Linked DNA regions of Styela clava. The protein of the gene in region 3 purifies or fractionates together with the protein of the main gene of each other region. This does not show direct contact. Links are inferred from orthologs where the notes say so. Each region holds a gene or a part of one and is shown on either strand. Other genes may lie near its edges. The genes, in order: cysteine-rich protein 2-binding protein-like, bromodomain adjacent to zinc finger domain protein 1A-like, DNA polymerase epsilon subunit 3-like and SWI/SNF-related matrix-associated actin-dependent regulator of chromatin subfamily A member 5-like.

What was found.
Region 1: the proteins of DNA polymerase epsilon subunit 3-like (region 3) and cysteine-rich protein 2-binding protein-like purify together in Drosophila melanogaster (affinity purification with mass spectrometry; 4 studies listed by BioGRID). This does not show direct contact. The link is inferred for Styela clava from reciprocal best matches to the Drosophila melanogaster genes Chrac-14 and Atac2.
Region 2: the proteins of DNA polymerase epsilon subunit 3-like (region 3) and bromodomain adjacent to zinc finger domain protein 1A-like purify together in Drosophila melanogaster (affinity purification with western blotting; 3 studies listed by BioGRID, with this or other methods). This does not show direct contact. The link is inferred for Styela clava from reciprocal best matches to the Drosophila melanogaster genes Chrac-14 and Acf.
Region 4: the proteins of DNA polymerase epsilon subunit 3-like (region 3) and SWI/SNF-related matrix-associated actin-dependent regulator of chromatin subfamily A member 5-like fractionate together in Drosophila melanogaster (co-fractionation; 4 studies listed by BioGRID, with this or other methods). This does not show direct contact. The link is inferred for Styela clava from reciprocal best matches to the Drosophila melanogaster genes Chrac-14 and Iswi.

What each region holds. Positions count from the first base shown.
Region 1 is NC_135251.1:27,511,035-27,519,156, forward strand, and holds the start of cysteine-rich protein 2-binding protein-like, read right to left. Parts: upstream 3,568-8,122; 5' UTR 3,498-3,567; coding exon 3,449-3,497; intron 2,790-3,448; coding exon 2,682-2,789; intron 2,262-2,681; coding exon 2,147-2,261; intron 2,031-2,146; coding exon 1,902-2,030; intron 1,537-1,901; coding exon 1,367-1,536; intron 952-1,366; coding exon 809-951; intron 1-808. Other genes in the region: nucleotide sugar transporter SLC35D1-like, read right to left, coding at 4,967-5,054, 5,493-5,654, 6,118-6,278, 6,794-6,896, 7,378-7,446, 7,675-7,814.
Region 2 is NC_135253.1:143,676-151,698, forward strand, and holds the start of bromodomain adjacent to zinc finger domain protein 1A-like, read left to right. Parts: upstream 1-4,637; 5' UTR 4,638-4,745; coding exon 4,746-4,858; intron 4,859-5,851; coding exon 5,852-5,996; intron 5,997-6,605; coding exon 6,606-6,736; intron 6,737-6,908; coding exon 6,909-7,043; intron 7,044-8,023.
Region 3 is NC_135251.1:20,534,493-20,540,273, forward strand, and holds DNA polymerase epsilon subunit 3-like, read left to right. Parts: upstream 1-4,289; coding exon 4,290-4,682; downstream 4,683-5,781. Other genes in the region: renalase-like, read left to right, coding at 2,207-2,934, 3,473-3,806; leucine-rich repeat-containing protein 42-like, read left to right, coding at 5,283-5,781. UniProt on the Drosophila melanogaster protein: Accessory component of the DNA polymerase epsilon complex. Participates in DNA repair and in chromosomal DNA replication. Histone-like protein which promotes nucleosome sliding of ATP-dependent nucleosome remodeling complexes.
Region 4 is NC_135260.1:16,353,713-16,362,305, forward strand, and holds the start of SWI/SNF-related matrix-associated actin-dependent regulator of chromatin subfamily A member 5-like, read right to left. Parts: upstream 3,525-8,593; 5' UTR 3,438-3,524; intron 1,928-3,437; 5' UTR 1,809-1,927; intron 1-1,808.

The DNA.
Region 1 (8,122 bases), about 7.0 Mb from region 3:
TTTGTGAGTTACTTACAAGACCATGAAATTAGAGGAGTCCCTGTGCTTATACATTTTAAATCTGAAAAACTGATTCACTAAATTTGTTTTTACATTCCTAAACTTTTCAAATTCAAGTTTAAACTTGGTACATACATCATTTTTGAATATGATCATAACCACATCAATCAAACAAGCACATGCTATCAAACAGTTTAAACACTGTAACCTAGTTACTGTAGTTACTTTTTTTGTAATTTACGTAGATAATCAGAAGCCATGACAGTAAGCATGCATAGGACATAGAATTGAGAAAGGTGAACTGGAGCACAATAACACACATTCTAAAATCGGACTCCTCTTAGAAAGTAGTTCAAAATAATTTAATTTAGTGAGAATGGTTGTCTGAAAAAAGCTTTGTTCGGAGCGAAAGTGTGGAATAATATTCCAAAATAATCAGAATTTTTCATGGAAAACTAGTTGTTACTGAGTATATTGAAGCATTTTGTCTCAATTTCACTTTAAACTAATTTCTGGAATACCCAACTATTTGTATATGAGAATCTTTTGATACTACTACAAATTTCTGAAATCAGATGTAACCTCATGAAAAGATATTTTCATGGATAACGCCAAAACAAATATAGACTCCGCCCACTTTGACTACTTGCTAACCGTCAAGAGCAAATAAAAGATAGCTAAAACAGCATCATTTTTGCTTTCAACATCTGACATAGTTCATGAATTTACTGAATACTTTATTTAAAATCCTACTCTGTTTTACTGAAACATTATTTTATATTTTCAATGTTCAGCTCTGCGCATTTACCTGTGTTTTAGCTCGTTTCTCTTTAATTTGTGAGGCGTTGAACGCAGATGACAAATAAGATCTTTTTCTTAATCCTTCTGTTCGTCCTAGACTGGGTGAAGGAGTCATTGCTGATCCAGATTTAAATTTTTTTGATCTTCCTTCTAAAGTAAACAATAATAAACAAATGATTTGATAAACATTGGCTAACCTTATTAAATATATCACACAGTCAATCAATAAATCAGTCAGTAATTGAAATAAGTAAAAGTGCTGTTCTATAAAAAAAAAAAGTTCTAAAAGCTCTGTGCAATTCTATATCAATAAAAAATATTATAATTGGATTGGCAAAATTAAATCAACAAATTATTATATTACAGAATATATTGGTCTTCTTCTAACCTCAGTGCTGTTTTAACTACAAAGCAAGACTTTGTTGAATAAAACAAAGAGAAAATAGCAAATAGCAGTATGGTACCGACAATTGTTGACAATAAAATATTATTTGAAAGAATTTGTTTGTTGACTTATGATCTGATACACGACAAAATCGATGAGCAAAAAAAAATATTAAAATACCTCTGAACCTCGAATCACTAGATGGAGTGTATTCGGGGGGTTTGGTAGGATCAGTTAGTTTCCACCATCCTGATTCCTTGAAAAATCCATATCCACTTGTAAATTGATGAGGGTTGCCAGCTGACATGGTTGATGCAATGGTATTCATCCAAGCCCCAACTTTCATCCTGCTGATAACGTGATATTACACAAAATTATTTGCAAAATCTTCTTATAAGTATCCTTGCAGAAGTATTTCAATAGGAAGTGGCACAATAGCCTATAAGCAACAGAAATATTGGTGTTGCAAATTAATTAAAGGTCATGCAGACCACCCTAAGACCACACCTCACGGTGATGTCAAACTGGAAGGATTTCGAGCCTTCTAAAAACAGTAGCTCCTTATGTACCAGTGGCTAATTGTACAAAGTCTGCCGTAAAAAAGCTGCATAAAAACATTTATACCTGTCTTTTTACAGCTCTTCAGTTTTTTCTGTAAAATCTAATATTTTAAATGGGAATAAATTTGACAACAAAATTTATAAGGTAAACTCACTATGACTCGAACAATACATCCCAATGAGTTTCAACAAAATCACAAATATCTTCTTTCCATTTGAAAAATCCTTGTTTCCCAGGATCAGATTGGGCCATGTTAAAAAGAGAGAGTGCAGTTGCCTGGTTCCTGTCAAAATTAATTTGGTGACATAAATAATATAATAAATAGAAACTGTTTTTTTTTTTAATTTGCTAAATAATTGGATGAATGTTTTTACAAAATATCAAATGAAATTCCCATACCATGTTATTCTCATTCTAATAAAACTTTCTTTTCCATCTTCAGAACAACTTATGCATTTGAATACGTAGTAATTATCGAACAATAGAGGGGATGGTGATTCTGAACGAAGGCAGCCTGTCATAGAGAATGGAATATATTAACGAAAAATTCCAAAAGCTAACTTCTAAAGAAACACTCAAATCATTGCTCATCTCAACTTTCATGCCTTCAAGAATACATACTCATATTTGTTAAACTTTCAATTTTTTTGTTTCAAAAATACTATTTTGGGATGCATTTAAAAAAAGTTGGTCAATAAATACATTCCAAACAAATATACCCAATCTCTGTTTCTCATAAGAATATTGAACAAATATAATAACAAATCAATAACACAAATTTGCAATCTTCAAAAACATCAATTTGAATAGCATCCATATAAAACTTTTTACATAATTACCGGTATGTTATATATTTCTTCATGTTTAAGAAAAAAAAAACATTCATTTTATAATCAAAAACGGTATAAAATAAAACCCATATGTTACAACATACTTGTGTGAACCCATTTAGCACAAGAACTGCAATGAAACACAGGTAAGCCTTCTTTTTCACAATCACAATATCCACATCTTGATGAAGTTGTCTTTGTAGAAGGCTCTGCTAAGAACAAGAAATAATATAATACAAAACACAGAAATTCATACATGACATGAATGGATCAGTAAAGAAATCTGCTGGGTCATATTCATTAAATCACTGATGTAGGATACCAAGATATGAATAGTGCTTCAGCTTTATAAACATTAGCCATTGACAAGTGCAATTGGACTAAGTTGCGAGCACTCCATAACCCTACTTACAAGTGTAGGGGATCGCGTACCATTTGCAACAATAATAAGATAGTTTTAAAAAGAAGGTGTAGGTATAACCAGCTCAATTAATAGAACATGTTTTAACATCAAGCTAAACTGAACATCAAAATTAGTTACAAAGTATTAAAAATTCCTACCAATTACTGATTGATACTAGAGGCTAGTCTGTGGCGCAGCCAGAGGGGTGCAAAAACGTAACCTCGAGTTATGTTGAACACAATTACATTAACAGGACAAGACATTTTAAATGCTCGTATCGGTTGTGAATTGAATGTATTGCGCAACGGACAAATCATAATCCGCTGAAAAAGCCAGCTTTTTATTGAGTGGCGAAATCATGATGACCGTTTTAGTTGCGTGAGAATTTCAAATTCCGATTTTGGATCCCCTAGACTCTGGCTAGGGTATGAAAACAATCGTGTAAGATTTAAATTATACAGCACAAACCTGTAGCGTCTTCTGTTGTAGTTACATCTATCTGTTCTTGGTCAGACATTGTTGCGATTTAGCCTAATGATATTAACTACATGTAGATAATAAATAATTGGAAGTGTTAAAAACATGAACTACGTGCACAGATTAACAGTGGCTAATCTACAATTGAACAAGCTCTCTCCTACAACCTTTTTTATCACCAAATCTATTAAGAAACGAGAAATTTTCAATACAAAAGGATGAACATTTTACATGGATTATTGAAAAGGGTAGTGTAAGAACTCCTAAAACTTGTGTAATAAGAATTTGAATATCAAAAAGGATTTTTGAGACCAATTTTTGGCAATAACTCAATAAGAACGGCAGTGTCATAAAACAGTGGGAAAATATCATACTGTTAGATTTCTCGAAATCAAAATTAATTGAAAGGAAGAATTCTAGATGGCAACAATATCCAAAACCAAAACACAACGCTGAGTTACCATTCATAACTATTCAGACATGGATATCCATGGCAATCATCTTAATCACAAAATAGGAGACAGCTTAATTAAGAATATTGGTCAAAAACAAAAAGCTAACACATTGTTTAGATTGCTAAAAATACTTTAAAATTAAATTTTTCCCAATATTTTTTTACATAGATGCACGATATACTGCATAATAATTATAAATATATTAAGTGTAATGCAGGAGAATATTGTTATACTACATGCCATATCACATCAGAAATATTATAGCTATGCCTATAAATATCATATTAAGCATATGGTTTGACTTGTGTGAGGTATAAAATGAAGTGTTGATGATATTACACAAATCTACAAAGATTTTACTGACACTTTTTAGAAGTATCAATACGATGCCAGCCATATTGATATAATATATTTTATATAAAGTTATTATCAAAGTTAAATAGTACATAACAATTGCTCTATATTTAGAAAAATTGGTAAGGCAGTTGGAATTAACAATAAAATTAAAAATTCTCTCATCAGCACCTAAGCATAGAAAGAAAACAATGACCACTATGCAAGTATAAGCAAGGCACAAAACCAATAAAAATTAAAGAATTGAAGATGAAGCAAATGATTAATGGAAGTTAATAAAAACTTAACTTATTGGACACAATCTTTTTACATTTTTTAGAATTGTACTTAGATAAAAATAAATCGTAACAATGTTCATTATATATTTGGGTGGCACTTTTAGCTTAAGCAGCTTTATCATGTCAAAATATTCTAAATCGGAAATATTTTTTCTTTAAATTTTGAAATACTATACAATAAATGATTTTTAAACATAACCTGTTTGAATAATAAATCTCACGCAAAACTGAATTTTTTTCTCCAAACTAAACTCATTTTAGGCTACAAAACCACCCCTAGATATGCACCTACATATTATACACTAATAGTACAAATGTAAATAATAATTTCTATAAGTTGGATATGTCTCAGTGCAATGAAGATTTGATTTGAAGTTCAATTTAAAAATAACTAATAAAAATAGTTCATTAATAGATTTCCATCATAAACTTTGTGGTTGTTTTTTTGGTTTGTTCTTTTCCTGTTGAGCTTTGAACGTAAATATTGAATAAACGATACTGCCGACAACACTGAAATGAATGAAAAAAAATTTTTTAACTCAACAATGATGGTGGTTCTGAAATAAGATATAGGAAATGTACAAAACGAAGCCATTTAATCCCATGAAAGTGTTCAATGCTTAAAAATAATTTCAACTTTTGTTTGTTTGTCTATGATTGTTTCAGTAATTTAGGCAATTCATTTCAGTAATTTAGGATAAGAGAGATTTATTATTTTGTCAGCCAGAAAAAACAAGCATCACAAGTTGCAACAAAAATGAAAATATACTACAACATACACAAAGTTTTTTGGTATAGACTGTGGGGAGCGATAGGACCATACTGTCACCAGAGTCAGCATCCCCATGTTTGCACAAAAGTCACGCTCTCTTCTTTTGGGTCACCTTGTATTATTGCAAATAAATGCTTTATAGAATAGTAAGGAAACAACTTTAATCGCTGACCTACCTTATGTTAACGCCAATAAAATTGATCCAAGAAAATAAATAATCACCACCAAACATCATTCCAAAATATGTTATTGCGATATTTTTTAAACAACCGACCACAGTTGTAGTTAATGCGGAATTATAAGCTGTGCAAACTGCTATTGAATACATCAAGATGAACCTGAAAAAAGCAATGTCATCTAATTAGTAATAAAAGGTACAATCATATTTAATCATTTTGTTTGTTTGTAAGTTTATGCAATCCAATCGATAAGGAGTTCAATGCCTGAATGAATGCAAAGAATGAGTAAACTAAAGATATTAAATCACTGATCAATTAACTACATTGCAAAGTATTTATATCATTAGGAATTTAAGTTCAAATAATCAATTTGTTGTTTATCAAGTAGAGTTTCTGTTATTGTGAAAATGAGGGGGATTTTGTGGATGAGCAGTATATTCAAAACGAGTTTGTATCACATGTTATGCCTATGCAGTTTATCAAGAATTAATCAATCTTGCGATTTATTGATCATAGTTTTCATCTCAGGGACTTATTAGCTATATGAAGAGTTGTTAGCAAAAGTATTTAGTAGCGAATTTTAATTTAGATAACAATGACATATAACAAACAAAAAACTCACCCCATTACGCATGAGAGAAGAAATTGGAAAACGAATGCAAATTCATCCCATCCTTGATAGGAGATTCCTTTCTCTAATTCACCAGTATAATAAAGAATACAGGCAGCTGGAACAAGCATTAATAAACAGTTGTAATATGTTATGCCATACTTCCCAAGATCCTGAAAATTTTAGAAAAAGAATGTCATAACATAGTTTAATTCATGAGCTTAGCTTGAAGTAAAAAAAATACACACATATAGCCTACATATTTATACATAGAAAAGTAAGAGCCAATTAATGAGATAGAAGAACAAAGCGTATCAGATTTATACTACAAGAAAGTGGAATAAAGGTTTGAACAGAGAATAAATGATAAATAAAACACATTTTCCTCACAACAATGCTTCAAATATTCAATTTATATTTGAATATATATTAATATATATGACTAAGCAGATCAGGTAAGAGATTCGGAAAAGTATTTATTATAAAAAAAATTCCTATAACAAACTGTGCCCTGCAATTCAATTCAACTACCGGTAGGTAATTTTTTGAGTGATGAAAACTGAAATACCAGAATTTTTTTCCCTGGGTCCAAATCTAAATAAGTTTAGAATATCTTAAAATTGGGAGCAAACAATTTTTCTTTAAATAAACAACTTTCATGCACAACAGAATGCATAATTTCAGATACCTGTGCATTGAGAAGTTTCTTCATAAAAACTGCATTTAATGCTGTGAAAACATCATTAGCAATAATGAACGTATATCCAACCAAATCAAATGCAAGATCATCACTAAAAATAGAAAATCAGTAAGATCAACTTGAATACAAAATTATACAAATATATACGAAAAAATAATCAGATATAAAAAGGTACTTATCATTAAATTTAATATTAATTCTTGTATAAAACTATACCCAAACTGTAATTGAAACAAGTTGGAACACATTCAAAACGTTTTTTTTACTCCGTGCCAGGTACCCTATTATATTTTTTGATGCACAATGTATTCAATTATTGCAAATCTAAATGTATTTGCAATGCATATTATAGATAATACATTGTCAAGTTTAACAGTTATCATACACTAATTACTAGAAGTAAAAGTAGGTATGTCAGTCATATTGAAATTGATTTAGAAAAATTACTTTCCTATCACGGTATGGAAATTCATGATATCAATCACCAAAACAAAATATGAATATGACATTATATTATTGTTTGTAGAAACAAACTAAATATACTATAAAACTATAACAACATCCTGATTCACCTTGCAGCAATAATTGATCCTCCAATCATCATCAAGACTGTTGAGGTGACAGTTCGACTTGCTTTCTTCCTAATATTATAGGAATTAAAGGGTCAATAACAAATACATTCAGATTCTTGATATAATTACTAAAATATTTCATATTGCCAAATTTAATAGTGAGAGACTATATGGGAAAGTTGTACATTGACTTTTTAATACTACGAATCACAATACAATGTAGTAATGCCAAATTTTGAATGAGGCACAAAAACTAAAACAAAAGCAGAGTGAAAAATATTTCTACATGAGATATACCTGAGTACAAAGAACTCTAATATCAATGTAAACAAAATAGAAAATCTTCTTAGTACAGTAAACATTGGAAGACTTAGTTTCTTCGTTCCTCCCAATCCAGCAATCAAGTTGGCGAGATATATGAGAGGTAGAGGAAAAATCTGGAAATAAAAACAGATTCGGATAATAAATATAGTGGAGAGCATGGGTGACATCTAGGTGAGCAAGCATAAGGTGAGCGAGCATAACTATTCCACTCCTATATATTTGGAATCTTATTGCAATGACTTGACTAAGAATGGGCAATTCAAAAATCAAAATACAGAATCTGGAGGATCCGTTAATGCAATTCAGTTTAAGCATCCTTGCACCATGCGACGATTTTTGTAATTTGAATATCTAATTTATTAATCATAGAATAGCATTTTCTCTTGCGTTGAAATCTCTCTTGTTAGGTAGTACTCGAGTC
Region 2 (8,023 bases), on a different chromosome or scaffold from region 3:
ACACCTCTAACTACTCTGCGTAGGTTCGCAGGTTCGAATCCCACGCAGGGATGGGTATGTGCGAGAGGATTGCTGGACTCCTCGCCGTCGTTGGGTGGTTCACGTAACTGCTGGTCGGTTACGGCTTCCTCCACCACCAAGTCCATGCTTCCGAAAACAAACAATACAGTAAATCTAATCCCATACCCGACTTGGAATGGTAACCGGACGAGAGGCCGTGGTTCGCCCTATGGATAAGCCGTCTTATCGGCTTTCCTCTCCCCCGGGATAAATATGTAAATCCTATCCTCCTAATCCTATCCTATCGTTATATGGTTATGTCCACTAAAGCAGTGGTCGGCAACCTTTTTTAAGTGACGGACCGGTAAAGCCTGACGAAAATTTTAGTGGACCACCTTTTATACAAACGAACTATGCTTATGCAATAAATTATACGCGTTAGGAAACTTATGTTGACAATATACTAAAAAACGAAAGCCATGCTATTTAATGCGGGATCTGTTCCAATATTGGAGATATGGTCGACACCGACACATGTAACGTGTTTCATACAGCCTACTTCGATATTTCGTTTTTTGTAGTTATCAATATATATTGAAAACCAGGCCTCACATTAATAAGATGGTGGGATAAGTAACAATGCCTGTAAACCTTCTGTCTCTAGTCTGGGTATTGATTGATGTTTGATTGAACATTTGATTTTATTATTGTTTGTTTTGCCATAACTAATTTTTTACCCGATGTGCATGTGTTAACTTATGATTATCCTGATTCCTAAAGTATAGAATTAGCACTGACTAGTCATGACCGGTTAGCTATGAGCAAGTAGTGGAGTAGTCACTAGTCACGTTCCTAGCGAGAATCATTTTGTTCGAGAGATCTTATTCCAACTGATGTGAGACTTTCTTATACGGGCGTTGAGGAAACAATTGACCCAGCGTCAATGCGACATAATGACATGGGAATTGTTTGTGAAGTCAGACATGCTGCTGAAATGCGTTATGTTTGTCTGGTTTAGTGCTTTTTTGATCGTGGAGTATGTGGTTAGACTGTATAGGCTTCATTAGGGCCTTGTCCGTTTCTGTGTCACTTCTCTGCGGACCGGTAGTAACCTTTCCGCGGACCGGCGATGGGCCGCGGCCCGGGGGTTGCCGACCACTGCACTAAAGTGTTCAATAAAGAATCTTTTAATGGGTCAAGGGTCGGGGAAACATCCATAATTATTCCGCGGCACATTTAGTGTGGTACGGTGCCAGTACTGGCTACTGTTCTTTTTTAGGAATAAGAACTAATTGGGATAAACTAATCCCATTTTTTTCAAATGTCTCCATTGTACTAAGATTGGATGTACTCGGAATAGTGTTTTCAAACTCTGAACCATGCAATGAGAACTGGGAAAACTGACTACTGAATAATGTGAGAACTGTAATAAGTGAACTGAAAGACATTCCGGTTCCGTTATCGCTCGATGGAAAATGTCTTTTGGTCAAATTTAAAATTTTGCCCTTAGTCTTATATTGTGCAAAAGTATATTCTATCCCATTGTATATAGCAAAAATAATTAATGATATTATTGAGAAGTTTGTATTTGTTTTGTTCACGCTTTGTTTGTTTACCAAGTAAAACAGAAGCTCATCTAAATGCTATTATTGCTGTACCGGTATTGTATTAAAATTGTTTTCAACACTTTCGCTCATCAAAATTTATTTATAATTCTACAAGTAATCTTTGCCTGTGAATTTTACTTTCTCGTGTTTATGTACATGCCTGCATGCCTTTTATTAATTTTCAGTATAATTGCTGTGATGTGTTTTCTACTCGTGTGAGTGTGGGTAAATGGGCACAAATGCTTGCAGCGTTCGCTATAAACCTTTCTCGAGGTTTTGCCCATTTTCCCGATCTTATCGTCGCCCTTGTCTGTTTTTTATTTTGTGTTTTGTCTGTCTATGTTGTCAAGTTGTAGACGAAAGATCGAAATAAAATTGTATTGTATTGATGCTGTAATGGTAGAAATACCTTCAGACCTTTGGAATTGATACATACTGACATAGGTGGTTCATGTACAGATGTACCGTAACTGCTGGTTGGTTACGGCTTCCTCCACCATCAACATTCAACAGTGCAGCACACTATCCAAATTCCAAGAATTTTCCTCCATTTGGTTCAATAAAACAAACACTCAATGTGTCTCACAAACGAGGGGCATCTAGCACCGCGTCATATCGCGCCATGCTTGTCTCAATAATACTCTAAATTAATCGCGGCCGTCACATGACCAAGATTGTGATAAAATTTTTTTTCCTTCGGTAAATCGGATTATTTTTTCCAGAGAAATTCAATGATGACGTTATTAGATTGCGCTTCTTCGTAGTATTTTGCACAACTTCATTATACTGTATTTTTACCGATATTGAGGGACAACAATGACCAGACGTCTCCCAAAGGAGGGGTGTCTGATCATTGGTGAAATGGGTTTCTCTGAAACGAGACAATGTCACCCAATCTGTATAGTGTGCCGTACTGAATAGATTCTATGCAGCCATAATTCTGTAATTACTTTTCTTCGACAATATAACATCACTGGAACTGATTTAGAACAAGGAAAACATCGTACAATATATAAAACAAATAGTAAACGAGAATATCGGTCGGAGACCGAAGACTTATCGATTGATACTGCGGTTTCGATTTATGACTCTATAGTGACACCGCGTGTCTCATCACTAATTTATCAATAACTCGCTAATTATACGACATAATTCATCCAAAATCAATAGGCTTCTTGTCCGAGATATGGTGAATGCACATCCAGACATCCAGAATTTGGAGCAGATTCAACCTCGCCTTCGTGAGATATCGTGTTCATCTAACAGACAAACAAACAGACAGACAGAAAAATACCTATCAACATACTAACCGATCTTAAGATCGATAAGTAATAATTTGAAGAGTGGTGATAGAATGGTGTTTCTTAGAGATGGTAGTTTGGTAGGAGCTTGTTCAAACATACATTCAGACATTGTTTAAATATTGGCTAATAATATAAAAACTTTTAATTATAATATAAACTAATGTGGGACATTCTTTCAATAAAAGTTAAACCAAGGATTAGACATATTAGTGGAAATGATTTATTTGTACTTACTTCTCAAGAACCAGAGTTTATATCTCATTTATTTTGGAACTGTGTTCTTACACAAAATGTGTATGATTATGTTTTTTCTGTTGTAATGGAAATAAACAATTGTAAGTTGAAAAATATTTATAGAACGTGTATTTTTCTAGAACTAAATAATCAGTGTTTTTCACATTTATTATTAATTGAACGTGATGCAGTCATACTTCTTCTGTGTACTGCAAGATATAAGATATGGTTGGAACATAATGCATTTACTTTTGAAAATGTTGATCCAAGTGTTAAAAATGTCATAACAACCTAACAAGAATTAGAAAATCTCTTTCAGCAAGGAGAAATATAGAACAATTTAGACAAAAACCTAGTTTTATAAAAGAACTTGACGTAATATGCAGAAACCTATGACTAATTCAGTATTTGTATAAATTTTATTTTTCTGCTATCAATAATTAAAAAACCTGTAAAATAATATATATTTACCGATAAACATGGTGAACTTCATCTGTAATCAACAATGGAACACTATTAATTACTGGACAATACTGGATGATGTTTATGAATATATGTGTTTATTATATGTAACCAGGCGCGCAGACAGGCTTACAAAAGTGTTTCGATTTTAGTGATGGTATGTTCCTAAACGCGACCTAACATAATGTGTTCCGTAGGTCGCGGTGGGTTTGGTCATAGGGGCCATGGTTTGGAAATCCTGCCAGGGTTTTGCGGCAGTTCTAGACGCCACAAAATACTTGAAACTGCAATTGGTAGTTTCGGTACATAAACCACATTATTGCCTAACGAGCCTATGATAAAGTGGGCGACGGGGCTTCATAATCAGTTTTCATCAATCATTTTATTGTTATAAGATTTGCATATTTAACCCGGGGGAAAGGAAAGCGATAAAACGGCTTAACCATATTATAGCGAACCACGGCCTCTCATTTGGTTACCATTCCATGCCTGGTATCAGGGTATGGGATTACCTGCCAACCCACGCAGAGTGATTGATCAGAGACTGCAAATGCTTAGCACGATGTCGATGAGCCATACCACCGCGCTATTATTACACGTAGGCTACAATAGGGCACAATTCTCCAATTCCAAGATGTCCCAACATTTGGGTAAAAAACAACGCACTTTTTGTCTTTGACACGCGGATATCTGGCATGACCTGACGACGTCAGATCGCACCATGCTTGTCTTGATAATAATCTAAAATAATTGAGGATGTTACATGACCATTCCATATTTTTGCTAAAGTCTCTCGAATGCTGTGGTAAAAAATTTCCATTTTGTGTATCTGATTATTTTTATAAAGGCCCAGACTGTCTCGTAGATGAGGAGTTTGCATTCACTATTGTAATTGATGTTTCTCAATGTGGGGGCTATTCTTGGAATCCAAGAAATGTGTCGAAGGCCACTGAAGTATATTTTTGCTAAGTTTTGCAGGTCTATGAATATAAATTACTGAGTTTTAATTCTTTGTTTGGAGCAGTTATATTTGTTGTGTTTACTTACAGAAATTTGTAAATTACATAATTGAGTGATTCAATTCTGACTGTTACATTTTTAATTGCCATTTACTGCTGTACAATAGACAGATAAAGGAATGCCACTTCTCCACCGAAAGCTGTTTGTTCCAAAAACACCGCCTGAAGTTCCCGGTAATGACCATGAAGTTTTCTACTGTCCTCTTACCAAAGAAGCTTTCACTGATTATGAGTAAGATTTCTCTCATGCAGTCATGTTAATTTTCTGGTTTGGTATAATTTAGTTACATGTACTTCTAGTTGGCCTGGCTTTTTGCATATGTCATTCATAATTCTAACCCCCACCTGACTACATCACCAAAAAACTACGTCATTACGACGTCACAGGGCCGTAATAAAATCCTATGAAGTATACGGATGGTCGTCCAAAACGCGCAGGCGATCATAATTTTCTTTGTTTTCTCGTCACAACTATCACAATATAAGAGACATCGCCGGCGTTAGTTAGTTTATTATCGATGGCGCAGATGCCATTTGGGCGATCATAACTATCCTTTGCAAGCTGTATGATGGATTGTGATGTCGTTGTGACATAATTTTGGGATGGCATAGTCCGGTGGTGGTTAGGAAGAATAACTTACGCAAGGTTCATTATGCTTCGCCCATTGGAAGTACTTGTGGTACTAAACTATTCTAGACCAACTAAAAAGGCCGATACACTGATATTCCAATACTATATATTTATTAGCTCAAGTGTGCAGGGCAAAAGAGTTAATAAAACAAATAGTCTTTGAGCATTATTCATAGTGAATATTTCAGGTTGAAAAAGCGATTCAGCTGGTTTGGCCGATAAATTGCTAAAAAAAGGTCAGAATCCTATTCTCGTTTCTACTCGTGGGGGAGGGGGTGTGCATGACCCTTGTTCACGATCTACCCAAGAAAAAAAAATAGTTTTAACATCAGTATTATAGCTTATTTTATTTTTTAAAACATTCTAGATCATAATAAAAAGCTAAATGTATCGGAAATATCAGTCTACATTTAGCCGATACCAATACACTACCGATATCGAAAACTTGGTCGATACCGATACATCTCTATAACACATGTGTCTAAATCAGATTTAAAAGTGGTGTCTTTATGAAATTTAGCAAGTAATTGTTAATTAATTAATTAACAATTAAAATTAATTAGTCTTTTTTATCGTAGCAAAACTTTTTTCTAGGGAGTTCTTTGATCGAACCATTCTGTGCAACAGTTTGGTATGGAGTTGTTCAATCACGGAGCGAGGGAACATGACTTACCAGGAAGCACTTGATTGTGAAGAAGAGGCAAGAAAAAAGTTCGATAAGTTTCCTGAAGGTCTTCAGGTTTGTTCATTGGAAATTTTATTTTTTCGGTTCAGGTCAAATATTTTTTTTGAGAATGGAACTGATTTCAATCATCTAATAAAAATTTCTTTGTGATAAATTGAAGAATTCAATATACCATATATTTGATGAAAAAATGAAAGACAGTGGTGAGATGCTGTGCTGGAAAAAGCCCTGTGTTGGAATCAATGTGGTACTGGTTTTAAGTTGAAGCAAATGTAGATGATAATGTTTTAATTTAACTTGTACGATATCATGGAAAAAATCATAATTTTATTTTCGTTTTGCACAGTAATATTTTACTGGGTGACAAACCTATGTGAAAGCAAAGGGTTGCCTAAAAACGGAACCTATAAATTCCCTAATTACCTCCACAAAACTGGAGTAAATTATTTAACCTCGTCTACACTTGAACTTCAGTTTATATAGGATTATACCAAGAGGTTTCTGATATCTAAGCACATTTTTAGTGCGATCAGTTATGCGCATATAAGCCAACCCCTTAGTTTAACTTTCTTTTTTAGTTTTATTAAACTTGGCTTACATGCAAGAGTATACGGTAGTTATTAAATATTATTGATATATGACATTGCATGCGTCATTTTTCAGAAACCAATGTTGCTTCTTGTAAACCTTATTGCTCGATCTAGAATAGAAATTCTGAATGATACGATCTTTTCCTTTATCAAGAAGCGGTACTTTGTTGGAGAAACACTGGATGTCAAAGTCAAAACAAACAAGTGGGTGTTTTTTGTTTCTGTTGTTATACTTGTATTTTGCAGCTGCAAATATATAAATGTATAATTAACAAATACAATTCTAGAATAGCGATTTGATTGTTGTTTACTTGCCATGTTGGAATGTTCAAAATTGAAATCTAACGTCCATGATTATTTTTACAAAATTCTCCAGATTTGAAATGTGTCGTATTCTGGATGTTATTCCAATCAAGAAATCTAGTGACTCTGCAGAAGCAGGGATGAGTAATGGTCATACAAATGGCGAATTGTCAACTGATGAAGATGATGATGATAAACCACTTGCGAAGTATGACTATTTTTTCAAAAGTTTTACATAATTATGTCTTCGATCCTCTTGCAGTTTTTCTTCACATTCTAAACTAAACTGAAACTCACCGGAAGACATAATGACAATTAAAATACTTCATTTACAACTAATTTTCGGAAACACAACTAAAAACTGACTAATATAATGCAGGGCAGTCCAAATCGAATTTAAAATTCGAACATCGCGAACTTCAAATACTTTTTTTTCGTGTTTATAGGAATCCCGAATATGGCGCACATATCCTAGCGTCGTCGTCCATGTGTGGTTCGGCAATATATTGCAGCCGACATGAAAGAATTCCGATAAGCGCCGCACGGACTTGAGGAACTTATGAAACATCGAGGACGTTTTTGATTGAAAATATTTTCTTATCGTATATTTTAACTTAGTCAAGATGGTTTATGCATCCTCGACAAATTGTGTCCTTATTAAGTGTTTCCATCCTCAGTTTCGATAGTGACCGAACATAACAGGAGATTTTTTCAATCTAGTAATTTAGAGCGAATAAAATAGCTCCTAAATAGTATTTAATAGCTTCTCTATCGCGGATTTTATTGGCATCCACGTTGATGACAACATCGTTCAGTTTAAGTTGGCGGTATTCATTTACAAACAAAAATACATAACAGCCAACATGAACTATTCAAATCAGCGCAGAGTCCAAAAATAAAACTTGTTTTACGGTCTTAAGATACACATAGAAAGAAGAAAGGACAGAACGGCTAAAAACTAACAACAGTATGTTTGTGTACTTTTGTTCACCATCGTCATCATAATCAAATAAGTGAACCCGATCCCCAAATTTTGGTCCGCCAATAATGGAGAATTAAGACGGAAAAACGTGTTTTATTTTTCGAGCCAGCGCTGATTTAAATTTCTCGTGTTATGTGTTATAATTTTAATTTTGAATATAAATCAATACCTCCAACTTAAAATAAACGATATTATTACCAACGACG
Region 3 (5,781 bases):
ATTACTTATTACTCAAAGCCCATATATACCTCTTATACTTACTGACTTATAATCATTGTTTATTTAGCATACTCCCATACCAGTACTGCTATAGGGTAAATTAACTTTTAACCTGTTTGGACAAATCATCTTGGCAAATACATTAATGGAACACTATGCAGCTATCTGCTATGGTTTAACTTACTGACTTAACTGGAAATAATGCATGTCTGCATGTAAGGGAATGATTCTGTTGTTAAGTGTAAATGGTTTAATGTAGACTAGGTCTATATCGCTATTATTTCAGTATTTGTTATTTTTTCCTTATGTATTTGTACTACCATATTTGGGCCATTCCAAGCAAAAGTTGAATTCCATCAATTTTTTTAAGTCTAGTGAAAGTAATTTTTTGTATTTTTTTTAAATCAAATGACATTGGAATTTTATTGAACTGCATTCCTTTCACCGAAAAAGTTGAAATTTCACCCAGGTTTTGATGGTTTTAAAAATGGCCTAAAATGTAGAAATTTTGGTATAATTGACATATTTTGTGATGATTCCTGTTTTGATTGTGTGATACAGTTATTTCATATGGTCTAAATGGACTCATTGAATTTAAGTTAATAAAGTTTAAATGGTTGCAGTGCTGTAGGACATTTCTTCACCCTTTTAACGATTTATTACCATAATTTTGAGAGATGATAGAGGCCGCTGTTCCGAAGTGGAAAAATGTCCTGTGGTGTCACATACAATATCCACATTATTGGCATGGATTTACACTGTTACATTAGGGGAATTGAGCAACACATAGAGGGGTCCTTCAGCTACTGCACCAGAAAATATTATGGGCTCCTGCTGTACCAACGCAAAAATTTACAGCACAACATAATGTACTGTTAATGCATGGTGGATTTACCGTCCTGTAGTGTCACACTATATTTTACTATATTTTTTATATCCACTAAGAATGGGTGTGTCTCTTGGGTTGAACTTTTGTTGAATTTTTTTCCATATTCAATAAAGCAACTGATTGGACAATGAAACAAAACATGTAGCTGAAAATGTAAAAATATATTGCATCTAACAACATGAAAATTTTCTGAAATTGTCCTGTAGTGTCTCTTGGAATAGCCCATTTATGTAGCCTATTGCTTCATTAAAAATCATTGCTTTTTCATTAAATATCAGTTTATTATACTAACTCTTGGTCTGATTCTTATGCTCAGCTATTTAATATGCAACTATTAAAAAAATATATGTGGACTATATATTTTGAATAATCTGCCCTTGTATGATAGTAATTATTGTCATTAGTGCCCAATTGCAGCATTCAAAAAATGGACCTTTTCCATTTACTCCCACCCTGACTAATATCCATAATTCATTTCATTTTTTGTTTGATAATGCTGCAAATTTTTAGGATTTAGTCGATTAATGGTGAATGCATTGATAAAGATGAATGGGCCCCATAAAAAAAATAGTATCCAAATATTGAGGCGCAGTTCTTACCACTTTATGGCAGCTCCTGCCACAAACGAACCGCGGCAGCTCTTGCAATGGTTTTATAGCGCTTTTCAGTAATCAGTATTAACGGTATATTCACAAATTAATGTACCAGATTTTAATTGATCATGCGGAATTATATCTACTCAAACCCTAACCCCAAATCCATCAAAACTGTATCCATAAGAAAAACGTTCCAACTCACCCAATATTTTTCACCATAAGGGACAGCCCTTTCTTTACGACCCACCTGCCGTGGTTATGGCAGCAAAATTTTACCTGCCATTGGTTTTCAATTTGCTGCCGGGGTAACGGCAACCTGTCATTGGTTTGTGGCAGCTAAAAAGTCAGTCGCCATAGGTTTGGCCGTAGCGGCCATGGTATGGAAAAACCGCCATGGTTTTGCGGAAGCTGCAGGCGCAACAAAATACTTAAAACTGCACTTGCAAATATTAGTGGGGGTGGGTTCATTTTTTTCACATATTCACATTTTTTTTTTACTTTATGTCATCTGACATTATGTTTTAAATATTAAATTATTAATATTCATCCGTCCACCAAATGACAGAATTATGTGATAGATTATTCTTCAATATACTGATATACTTGCTCTGTATATCATCACCTTTTGCCCTATGATACAACTACAAGATATACATCTGACCAACTTACAGTTACAGTAATCACCAAATTGTTTTATCAATTACAGTATACAAATATTATCATGGTTCGAGTATTAATTGTTGGGGCAGGTTTAACTGGTGCACTTTGTGCTCATATGTTACGAAGGCACCTTCCAACACAACTTCAATGTCAGATTGTTGTTTGGGAAAAATCTCGCGGAGTTGGTGGAAGAATGTCTTTGTCAAGACCATCTGAAATGGAAGACTGTTCTGCTGAACTTGGTGCCCAATATGTTGAACAGCATACCAAGTATATTGAACAACATAAATATTTTTATAATGAATTATTGGAATCTGGAATACTGAAACCCCTTGAAGGCAAAATTGATGGTTTTCGTGAAGGGATAAGTGAGAATTTTACTTGTGGTGGCGGTTTAAATATGATGGCAAAACATTTTTTTGCCAAATCTTTGGTAGAAACCTGTTTTAACGTTAGACTGGACAGTCTGAGACTTACTAGCGATGACCAAGAAGCAAGTTGGAATGTATGGGAGGCTGCAACAACCAGTGGAAAGCATGATCACTTTGATGCAGTTTTTCTGACAATGCCTATACCCCAGATTTTAGGAATTGAAGGTATTACAGACAATTTGCAGAAGCAGCAAATTTCAGATCTTGAAGGGGCAAGTTATTCCTCCAGATTTGCAGTGGGGTTGTTCTATGAACCTGGTGCTTATAATATCGATCTCCCCTATGTTGCTAAATTTGTTGTCGATAATGAAGTTATCTGTTTCATATCTGTTGATCAAAAGAAAAGAGGAATCGAAAGGTGAGAGAAAATATGATTTCTGATTGCTTTTTCATGTGCTTATGCGGTGATGGATGTTGCCAAGAGTCTGCGAGTGATACAATTGTTTCTAAATTATGGATGACATGGCTTTTATTAATAAGTCCAAAAAACATCTTGTATGGAATATTTTAGTGTTTTTGTGGTGATATTCGAGTATTGAATTTGAATTGGCCATCCCTGTTTTTATGTGCGTAAATCACTAAATCAAACTATTTTTTTCAGAGATGTAGTTAACACATAAATTTATAAAGTCGGGGCCCAGTGATGAAATCTTTTTTATAACTTGGAAATGATTTCTGGAGTATGATTGGGTCTATTTTTCTAGTGCAATATTTATTTAAAATTTGCATTTCTCCCAAGGGATGCATTTTCTTGTCTTGCTTCATAAACAAGTCTTGTTTTTCATGCTACCTTTGATTATATTCAACTATCATGTAAACTTATTTTTTATGGTGTCATCCTTTTGTGCTTCAATTTTTTGTTAATCTTTTTAATACTAGCATTTATATTTTTGAAGGAAAACTCAATCTATTGTTGTTCATACTTCTGCACCATTTGGAAAATCACATTTAGAAGAAGACGCTGAAAAAGTTGGCCCACTCATCATTGAGGAACTTAAAAAAATTATCCCTGATCTTCCAGAACCTACCTATGTCAAATATCACAAATGGAGATATTCTCAAGTCACCAAAGCAACTGAATCTTCTTATGGATGCTTGGTACCAAGAAATAAACCTTTGCTGGTATTGGCAGGAGATGGTTTTACTCACTCTAACTTTGATGGATGTGTTCAATCTGCTATAGTTGTTGAAAAGGAAATTTCGAAATGGCTTTCAAGTAGTGTACTGTAACCTATTTACAAGCAAATTTACAATTACTTAATTAAGATAAAAAGTGCATTTCTGTGCTTTTTCCTTTACATGAAAGATACGGTATTCATGTACAGACCAGTGGTTTTTTAATCGGGATTCCTCGGAAGTTGGCAGAACCCTAGTACAGCCCGGGGGTTACGCAAGTTCACATTACCTATTTGCAACTATTATTTTCTCCACTAAAGTTCATTTTGATTAACAGTATTTCGTTCGCTCTTATTATATTTATAGTTAATACAATTTAGACAATAAAAGACAGGGTTCCTCCAAGTTTAATAAAAACCACAGGCACAACCCTTTCTGGTTAGCTCTTCAAATATTTTGTGCACTTATTATGCTTTGCTGTTTCATGCTTTTATGTGACTTCACTAAAAACTTACCATATCTTTCGTTAACTTAATAATGACTGATCACAAATTTTCCCATTTTCAGGGATATAGCGCTATAAATAATTTAACAAAAATGGCTGAAAAACCAGAAGATTTGAACCTTCCTAATGCAGTCATAGCGAGAATCATGAAAGAAGCTCTTCCTGAAGGAGTGATCGTTTCAAAAGAAGCAAGAGCAGCAATATCAAAAGCAGCCAGTGTTTTTGTTCTTTATTGTACTTCTTGTGCTAATAACTCTGCAATGCAACAAAAGCGTAAAACTTTGAAAGACATTGATGTCCTATCAGCAGTTGAAGAAATGGATTTTGAAGGCTTTATACCAAGCTTAAAACAAAGTCTTGATGCATTCAAGGCCGAACAGAAGGAAAAGAAAGAAGCATCTGAAAAAAGGAAAAAATTAATAAAAGAAGCTCAATCTGTAGATGTAGAGAATGAACCCGTGACTGAAACTGTTGTTGTTGAATAATTCTTTATTATAATAGTACTCAAATTTCTGGCGCATTAAACTTGATTCCAGTTATTCTCGGAGACTTGCAGACTTGAGTGAGATCTTGTTTTAGTTTCCAGCCATGTGGTGCGCCTGCAAACTCATCAGAAAATCCCAATTCTACAACGTGAGAGTGCCTAGGAGAATAAAATTATATTCTGATTTAGTGACTGTGCATCCTGGTATCAATAACTAACAAATTAGTTTTTGTAGAATGACTCCCAATTGTAAACTACAAGTTCATTTATGTGATAAATGTACTATCTTGTTATTATACTTTGATTTTGTTTGTTTATAACAGGGATGTCCGAATCCATTTTTCAAATTAATTATATTTAGTATTTCCAGTTCTCCAAAAATTATCGTTTGGGTATTGGAAGTCCTCAAACTTTTGATGTTTAAATACTCTTTATCCTTACTATTGCGTACTTCCAAATTTTCTCCTAATGTGTTCTTCGTTGAACGTGACACAATTATGTATACATTTAATATTTGAAAAGATATTTTAATGTGTATTTGAAAAGTGAATTTTTCTGACCATCCTTGTTATGTTCGATCAAACTATATTATATTGGTAGTATGTATGTTGCAAACCTGCCCACCTTTCTCATTTCGTCACACTGCCCTGAAGCAATTATTGCACCTACTGCCTTTTTATCAATACCAGTAAATAATGTTGATCGATATACAATTTACTTGAAAAGTTTTTTTCTCACCTTTTTTAGATTATTTCATAGAGATTGTTCAAATATAATGGAAGGTAAGATATACTTCAGATCTCGTTCTGGTATTCAATCTTTGAAACATGTAGCATATACCTCTGATGAAATCGGAGTTAAATATCATCAACAACTCTTAGGAACAAGACATCTTGCTATCAAGAAGAATGCTAAGCTCCAAAGAGAAAATCAAAGAAATAATAAAGATTGTCAAAGCGATGTACAAACTTTATATGAAATTTGCATGGCATTGATTGTCAATAATTTAGACCATGTAGATTCTTTCTATGGTTTGCCTTCATTGATTGGTGAACAGATATTTGATGAAGCTTTGGAGAGTGATCGATTTACCAACAAAG
Region 4 (8,593 bases), on a different chromosome or scaffold from region 3:
GATCTTGAATAGAAAATCCAGGACCCACAGTTTCTTTTTTCGTAATAAAAATTTATAAATGTTGACCGTCGCGTTTCGGGCAGAGGAGCAGTAATTAATGATTGATTGCCCCCTATTTTAAGAAAGGTTCGCCTTTTAATGGACGTTTCCCTGACCCTTGACCCCCAAAAGATTCTTTTTATACTTGCCCACAGCATGTTCAAAACTATCATTTTTATACAAAACAATAAAAAAACGTGTCGCTTTTAGGCTATGATAGCTCATTTTAGTCTATTGCAGCGTTTGCGCTATCAATTTTGATTATTGTAACTAAACTAAATATCCCTGGATGACATACCGGTACTGGCAAGTAAGTTGTTTGATTTACGACTATTCTTTGAAAACCCAACTAAAAATAACGAATAAAACGCAAAACTACCAAAAGAAGGCAATGTTTACAACTACGCTTGAATAATGTCTGAGCGGCGGCATGAATTCTAAATGCTACGTCATTGTTAACTTATTGCGGATTAGTAATTGTTACGGAAATAAACAAGGAAATCGATGCTTGAGGGAAACTTCATACCATTGAGGTGTATGGACCTTTCCCCGAGCATCGACTTCCTTGTTTACCTCGTGACATTGGCCAATCAGCAAGATGCAAAAAGTGACGTAACAATGCTTCCTTTTCGCATCCGCTCAAATACTTTTCTCACTCAGACATATTTTCGAACGTGGTCGTAAACATTACCTCGTTTTCGCGTTTTCGAAATCTATTCGTTAGTTTTCAGTTGTGTTTCGGAAACTTAAATATAATTTAGATAATTCAATGATCACTCTGTCTTCCTAGGAATTTTAATTTAATTGCAGTGATAAAAAAATCAGTGTAGAAATAGCTATGATAGACTAGGCTAAAATTCTTCACCGTACTTTTAAAAAACAGATTGTTGTATGCGATGACTCATAATGATGGTTTGCAACACATATCCCATTTCACAGGCGCGAACTCGTAAAAGCACTCTTAAAATAGCCCCGAACATTTTGCAATGGTAAACTATAGGAAGAATTTTTCGGAGGTCAAAGGTCGGGGAAAGGACCATATAACCCACAGAGATATATAAATATAGAGTGTGCTTCTCTCTCGTTTTCGCGGGGTCATATGAAGCCTCTCTCGTTTTGACGATATGCTTCCAACTTTTCCGATGCGCGCAATGCATTTCTTATGGGATTTGACAGGAATTAATTATTTGCGTCGATTTTTTTTGCATATTCGCAAGTTCTTGATTCGTTTCTCATTATATATCAAACGCTAATCCTACCCCAGCCCACCATACGGTCTAATTTTGGCAGGTATATGAATATGCGTAAGTCTCGGTTAATAATATGGCCAACATATCAGTCGAAAGCGAACAAAAACGACCACAGAACATTAGCCAAGATGGCTTATTGGAATCGATTCCCTATTTGCCCATATCTGGCCGTATTTTATCGCCGTGAGTACTTTGCGTAGCCTGGCGCTGTAGTGGCCTACCCGCTATTGGGCGGGAACGAAAAAAAAGCTTAATTTTTATTTCTAAAACATGGCCCTAGCCTTATTCACTGGATCGACTCAGCAGCCAGAATAAAACGGTAGTTGTGCGAATCATGTTATGATGAAATTTTGAGGTTGTAATTTTTAGAAAATGTTATTTGACACACAAACCAAAACTTATACTCAATATATTGAAAGTAATATTTGTATGTAGATTTTCCGAAAAAAATACAATATATCATTAATCTATACTATAGACATCTAAATTGAAAAGCTTTCAAATGATTTGGTTACATACTTGATCTTCAGACTTGATAGGCCTCCATCTCACTCAGTGATGAAAAGCTGGTACTTGACGAATTTCTTTTGCTACAATGATAAATTGTCCTGTCAACTTTCAAGCAGTGTTTTAAAAAGCTGAAAATCAATATATATGTCATGATTTTGTGCAAGCCAATTCTAAATTTGAGTTAAACTAAATTTCGTTGAGCCAACTATGTCATTAGGTAGTTAATTCAGACAAATGTTATTTGACAGAGACACTGCAAAGCAAAAAATAGACGTTAGTTTCAATAAAATACGTAACGGGTAAATTTCGACATTAGATTTCATAAAAGCCAAACTTTCCTCCGATTTTTTTTTAAATACACAAAACTAAGAAAATTTAGACGAATAAAATTTATTCAGCGATTGCCATTAAATTTCAAATATTATAGATTAACATAGAAATTGCTTTTCATCGACCTTACAGTTACAGGTATATGTAATCATTCAATTTCATAAATACAGCTCCATATTTTATAACATACCAGGTGTAGTTTTCAAACTGCACGAGTTGCAAATATTAGAATAAAAGTAAAACACCCAATGAACTTTTCGGACTTCTGCTTTAAAACACAATTATTAAAACATGTACAGAATCTAAATCTTAAATTTCGATATGCACAGGATCAAATATACAGCGTAACAATGTTGGCTTGCATCGAACTATTTAGCCTTTTAAACGTGAACGTGGGTCTTACTTTTTTGGAATTTTGATTCGAAAGACAATTATTAAAACTTGTGAAAATATAAATCTTACAATTTTGAGGGAAAACACACGATCAAATAAGTGGCAATGCCGACTTTGATCGCAAGACCCGAGACGCGGTGCGCTTGCATCTAATTGTTTAGCATTCTAAACGAAAACAGTGGTGTACAGGAATAAAATAGGCGTCGGAAGTCAAATCTTCTGCCAACGCTCCCGCCACGTTTTAAAATGACATATTATTAATAATCCATTTGGGGTTAGGAATGATTTAAAATTGAATTCCCAGCGCAATCTGCATTGCTAACTTAAACTGGATAATTATTAATTCTCTTATTTTGAACGTTGATAGCGTCTTTGTACAAAGATCCAATCTATACAAGGCGATCCGGTAGTATTCGTACCAAGATGGTGCACAACCTGAACCCTAACCAGGTACACATACTGTGTTCAGGATGTGCGCCATCTTGGTACGAATACTCTGGGAGCACCCTATACACAATAAAATATGAAAGGGAAAAGGCTACGGCGAATCTCTAATAAACCATTGATTTTGCGCTACATTTGCGAAAGTTTTGAAAGTTATGCTTTACATTCATGTAAATCTTGTCCTGTTGAATGCAGCTTACGTAGCGACGTAGATCAGTATATTACGTTTAAGTTTCTTAATATGATAAGTCTATGTATTGTCATATAGCTTTTAAGTTCAACCAGTTTTGAGGAAACGATGGAACCCGTTCGATACAAAAGAGAATCACCCACCAATCTAGACTTCTGTATTTGGTTAATAATTCCAATTCGTATAGGCCCGAAAACCTCTAATTTACCACTTATACAATAGAAAAATGAAAGCAATGGAATATCAATGAAAACAATAGGTTTAAAGAACATTTAGCTCACCTGAATATTGTTTCAAACTCGCTGTCATAACCCAACAGTCAGCTTGTCCATACATTCTACACAAAATCAAACCTTATCCTACGACGAACATTTGTGACTGCGATGTCGCTTGTGGCTTCCCGCGCACAAATATTTGACGAAAAAAGCTAACTGATTGTTGTAATCAAATATTTTTAACTGATTACTTTAATTACTCCAGGTTGCCGTTACGGTCCGATCACGCTTCTAACGCGTGATCTCAAAGTTGCAGAATGAAGATGACGGTTGGGATTTGCTTCATACATTTTCTGATCGCATAATACCTAGTTCATAGTATTTTTGGGGGTGTTTATCTCGGTGACCGTACATTTGAACCCACGTATATTTGAACCCACGTACATTTGAACCATGTACAAATATCCGTAAAACAACTAAATTTCCATAAGTGCAATAGTACGCAGGTGCAATTGTCGTGGGTTCAGACGTACGTGGTTCAAATGTACGTGGGTTCAAATGTACACGGGTTCAAATGTAATGGAACCGTTTATCTCAGATCTCACATTTTTACATCAGTGACGGGAGCTTAGTACAAAGAATCCAGCATTTCCATTATATTTGTCTGTTTTGTTTTTCGAGTAAACGCGCACGTGGATGTCATCAAAAATGTAACCTTCCCTCCACTCCATGAAAGAATAACGGCGTGTTTAGCGTTATATCAATGCATTCTCTAAATTAACGTACAAATCTTAGCTCATTGACTTTCGCAGTCAAGAATGTTTTCATACAATAACGTGACGGCGATGTCCTTAAAAGTGGAGTCACAATGGGACGTTGTTTCGATGCCTACTGCAGGGCTACTCAACTATTTTTATCGAAGGTCCGCAAATAAAACTTCAAAATTATTTGGGTCCGGTCTTTCCAGAAATGATATTTCGGCCTCCTTAAACGGGCACTTCCTCGACCGACTAATGGTTAGTAGCAAATTAAAATTGTTTATTATGGTGTTATAGTTCTTTTCGTATATATTCAAAACTATGAAAGTCATTGTATAATAGGAAATTCAAAAACTGGGGCTAATGATCCAAAATAAATAATTAGGTGCGGTCCTGGCCTACAGTAAAGGTAATTTCTCCGCCCAAACCAAACGGCAGAGATATAACATCAGCAACAGCATTAACCACGGTTCTATGTGAAGTAAATACGACAATTGACTGCTCAAGACAAGTGCATACCGACGACAACGACTGATTCACATATTTGGTGTTATGAAGCTCGTGAAGAGGTAGACTGCTATTTACGGAGCCCCACAATAAGAACGTAACAAAAACAAATTGTTACTTACAGATTAATATTAATGAGTGATTTGAAAATACGCTATTCAATAACTCGGATGTATTTGCTTCTTCTTTAATTTTATTAATGTCATTTTGAGTAAACGAATAGTTCGCGGAGACTCTATAGTTCTGTATGAAGCACTTTGAGTCTGTCTCTACAGTAGACCTCTTGGTAAAAAGCGATCATGATACAGGTATGTACGGCCATAAAGAACAATCCTGAGATTTCGTCATCCAGCGTAAGGGTATAGACGTATATTAATGTGTTTAGTATCTATGTCAGCCAGTGCACTGCAGTTGACTACGTTCGCGTTGAGTGGCGCATCGTACTAAGCCTTAGGACTACGCTTGATTTCTAACCTAAGATTACCCCGCTTAGATTCGCAGGTTCAAATCCAGTAGGGGATAATTTAGTACCAGAGGATTGCTGGCGGCTTACTCCCACTATCCCTACCCTAAGCTAGCGCTTCCCAAACTTTTTTCGCCCCGGAATATTAATAGTTTTTATGATGTAATTTAAGTTTTTTCTCTACTTTCGCTTGAGGCACATAATATGCAGCACCTACGCCAAATGGATTTTTCGAACCGTCAGTAAATACTTGTACATAGTCTCGATAGTTTTTCGTGTATATGGTCAAGAAATGACGTTTGAAGTATTGTTGGTGAACATGTTGTACCATAAATCGTTAACGTTGTATCAATTTGCGGTGGCTTTAAGGAATCTTGAAATTGACAACTTTTGCAACAAAGAAGTTGGTAAAAAAGCTGTTGGTTGTTTTCATAATAAACGTTGCAAATGACGGTTTGTAAGAAAAATATTCTTCCCACGACTGTTTGAATAATTGTGCTGTAATTTCGCTGTCACGAGGAATCATTCTGCATTTGTAATGTAGACATTTTCTATAATGTATAATATGTAAAGGCATTTCGTTACATTGGGATTGTAACGCTATAATAGGAGTACTTTTTAATGCAACCAAACATTGTGATTGGATTACAGCCATTTTCCGCAATATAGTCGTTGTTCTTATTGTTCCTGTTCTTTGACACGTTTTTAAAAATTCCAATTGCTTTGAAATTTTCAGTAGTTAAAGATGGAATTTTTTTCTAGAAGGCTATTACTTTTATTAGTTTCAAATATTTCTGTGAGCTTTATGAGATTCGTTTTTATTTTGAGCTATGACGTCATCAGAATTTGCCACCATATGGCGATTCCGCAAACATTTCAACGATATATTGGTCAGCAAAGTCGGGAGTTTCTTAATAAGGTAGACCAGGGTGGTCCAAACTCTGTCATGCTGATACATTCCGTGCGGCTCACAGAACAATTTTAGCGTATATTTGTATGTAATGGAGTAACGTTTTTTTTTAGATATTCCAACTGGGGTTGGGATCCCGAAATTCAAACCCTTTTTCTAACGCTTTGTGCCAAAACACTCCTCTGTTTACAAGCATCGGCCATGTGACAGTAGTGACGAAACGCAGAGCCGACTTAACGCCGCGTAATCCAGTTTTTTAGCTAGGTCCAGAAAACAAACTTAGACTGACTTGGTTGGTATTTGACGATGTCACTAAGCTTGCTCACGCTGCAAGTTTCTAAATTACTCAATATATATAACAATTCGTAATAAAATGAGTGTCGCAAGAAAGGTGACATGAGAGAACACGGCGGAAATGTATTTCCTTGCCCATCACGCAGTGTTTGATTTCAAGTAATATCTGTCACGAAAGAATATAATTTGAAGCGACATTAAACGCGAGATGCGCAAAATACAACGGTAATTCTCGGAAATTAACTTTAAAATATCTGAAGGCTTTATATATCTTCTTTAAACGAACGCCAACCATGCAACCTAATAATAGTCTGATTAGAAGATCTCGTTGTTTAATAAATTTAAAGTAAGTAAACTCGCGATATTTTGATCACTTTTGGTTTTCTCCGACTTGCGGCCCGCGAGACCTCGTCAAAAGTTTTTGCGGTCCTTCAACCTAGCAACCTTGAACCACTCTGAGGTAGACTACTAGGTACCGGTAAAATTTCAAACTACAGTTGTGACTTGTATCCTTTGGCATTTCGATTCACGTTGAGACTGGAGGCATGAATCTTTATTGTCACACTCCCTCAGGATTAGAGCTCAACCGATATATCGGCCCGATATTGCGTGTTTGCATATATATAATATCGGCAGTAAACGGCCAATATATATATCGGCTATATATAATAGTTAAAAAACCTGAAAAGGTTCGTAAAGTTCGTTTTATTTACTGTTGGTTGTGATTATTTTTAATGGATAATACACTTATGTGGTTTATTGTTTTTATAATTAAATTACACATGAGGGGGCACCAAAGTCTTCAGTGCTTAGGGCACCAAAGAGGCTTAATCCGCCCCTGCCTACCCGAGATATACCTAAAACATACCGGTAGTCCTAAAGGGCGCTTCAGAAGTGTGTGTACCAATATTGAGGTAAATAATATTGTTCGCCCTACTTTACATCAAGTTGTGTAAAAGGACTGAAGGGTATATTCACTTGGGTAACACACACAGTACCCGAACTCGTAATAGAACCAAAATAAGAAAAGTCAGAACAAAGTTATGGCCTAACGCCAACCTGGTACACAGTCTACGGCAGTATCAACTAAATTTCTCTTCGTCCTATACTGAAGACTCAGGTGAAATTTTCCCCGTGGAGGTTATTGCATTTTTGGGATACCAGGCAAAAACAATTGTTTCCACTTATATCTATTGTGCAATCGCCTGAACAACCAATTTTTTTCAAAAACGAGATCCACATCAGGCTCCAAAAATACTCGAATACAATTGTATCTGGTATGTTAGTCGTTGCCGAATACCCACAAAGTGTCGCATATACATCCATATGCAGCGCACTGGGTAGTAAAATAGACGAAAACTGGCCAAAACCATGAAAACGAACGCCAACCATGCAACCTAATAATAGTCTGATTAGAAGATCTCGTTGTTTAATAAATTTAAAGTAAGTAAACTCGCGATATTTTGATCACTTTTGGTTTTCTCCGACTTGCGGCCCGCGAGACCTCGTCAAAAGTTTTTGCGGTCCTTCAACCTAGCAACCTTGAACCACTCTGAGGTAGACTACTAGGTACCGGTAAAATTTCAAACTACAGTTGTGACTTGTATCCTTTGGCATTTCGATTCACGTTGAGACTGGAGGCATGAATCTTTATTGTCACACTCCCTCAGGATTAGAGCTCAACCGATATATCGGCCCGATATTGCGTGTTTGCATATATATAATATCGGCAGTAAACGGCCAATATATATATCGGCTATATATAATAGTTAAAAAACCTGAAAAGGTTCGTAAAGTTCGTTTTATTTACTGTTGGTTGTGATTATTTTTAATGGATAATACACTTATGTGGTTTATTGGACACGTAGTGGACATAACGATCGTTTCAATATTATGTTGTTGTTGTTCTTGTTCTTGTTATCCTTGTTGTTGTTCTTTGACACGTTTTTAAAAAGTCGCTTTTCTCTTCGAATACTGGACCAATTGCTTTGAAATTTTCAGTGGTTGAAGATAAAATTTTTCTCCAGAAGGCTATTACTTTTTTTTTCGCTATGACGTCATCAAAATTATTGCCATTGGGTGGCGCTACGTGTCCATATATTTGAGCATAGCTCTCTTGTTGTTTTTATAATTAAATTACACATGAGGGGGCACCAAAGTCTTCAGTGCTTAGGGCACCAAAGAGGCTTAATCCGCCCCTGCCTACCCGAGATATACCTAAAACATACCGGTAGTCCTAAAGGGCGCTCCAGAAGTGTGTGTACCAATATTGAGGTAAATAATATTGTTC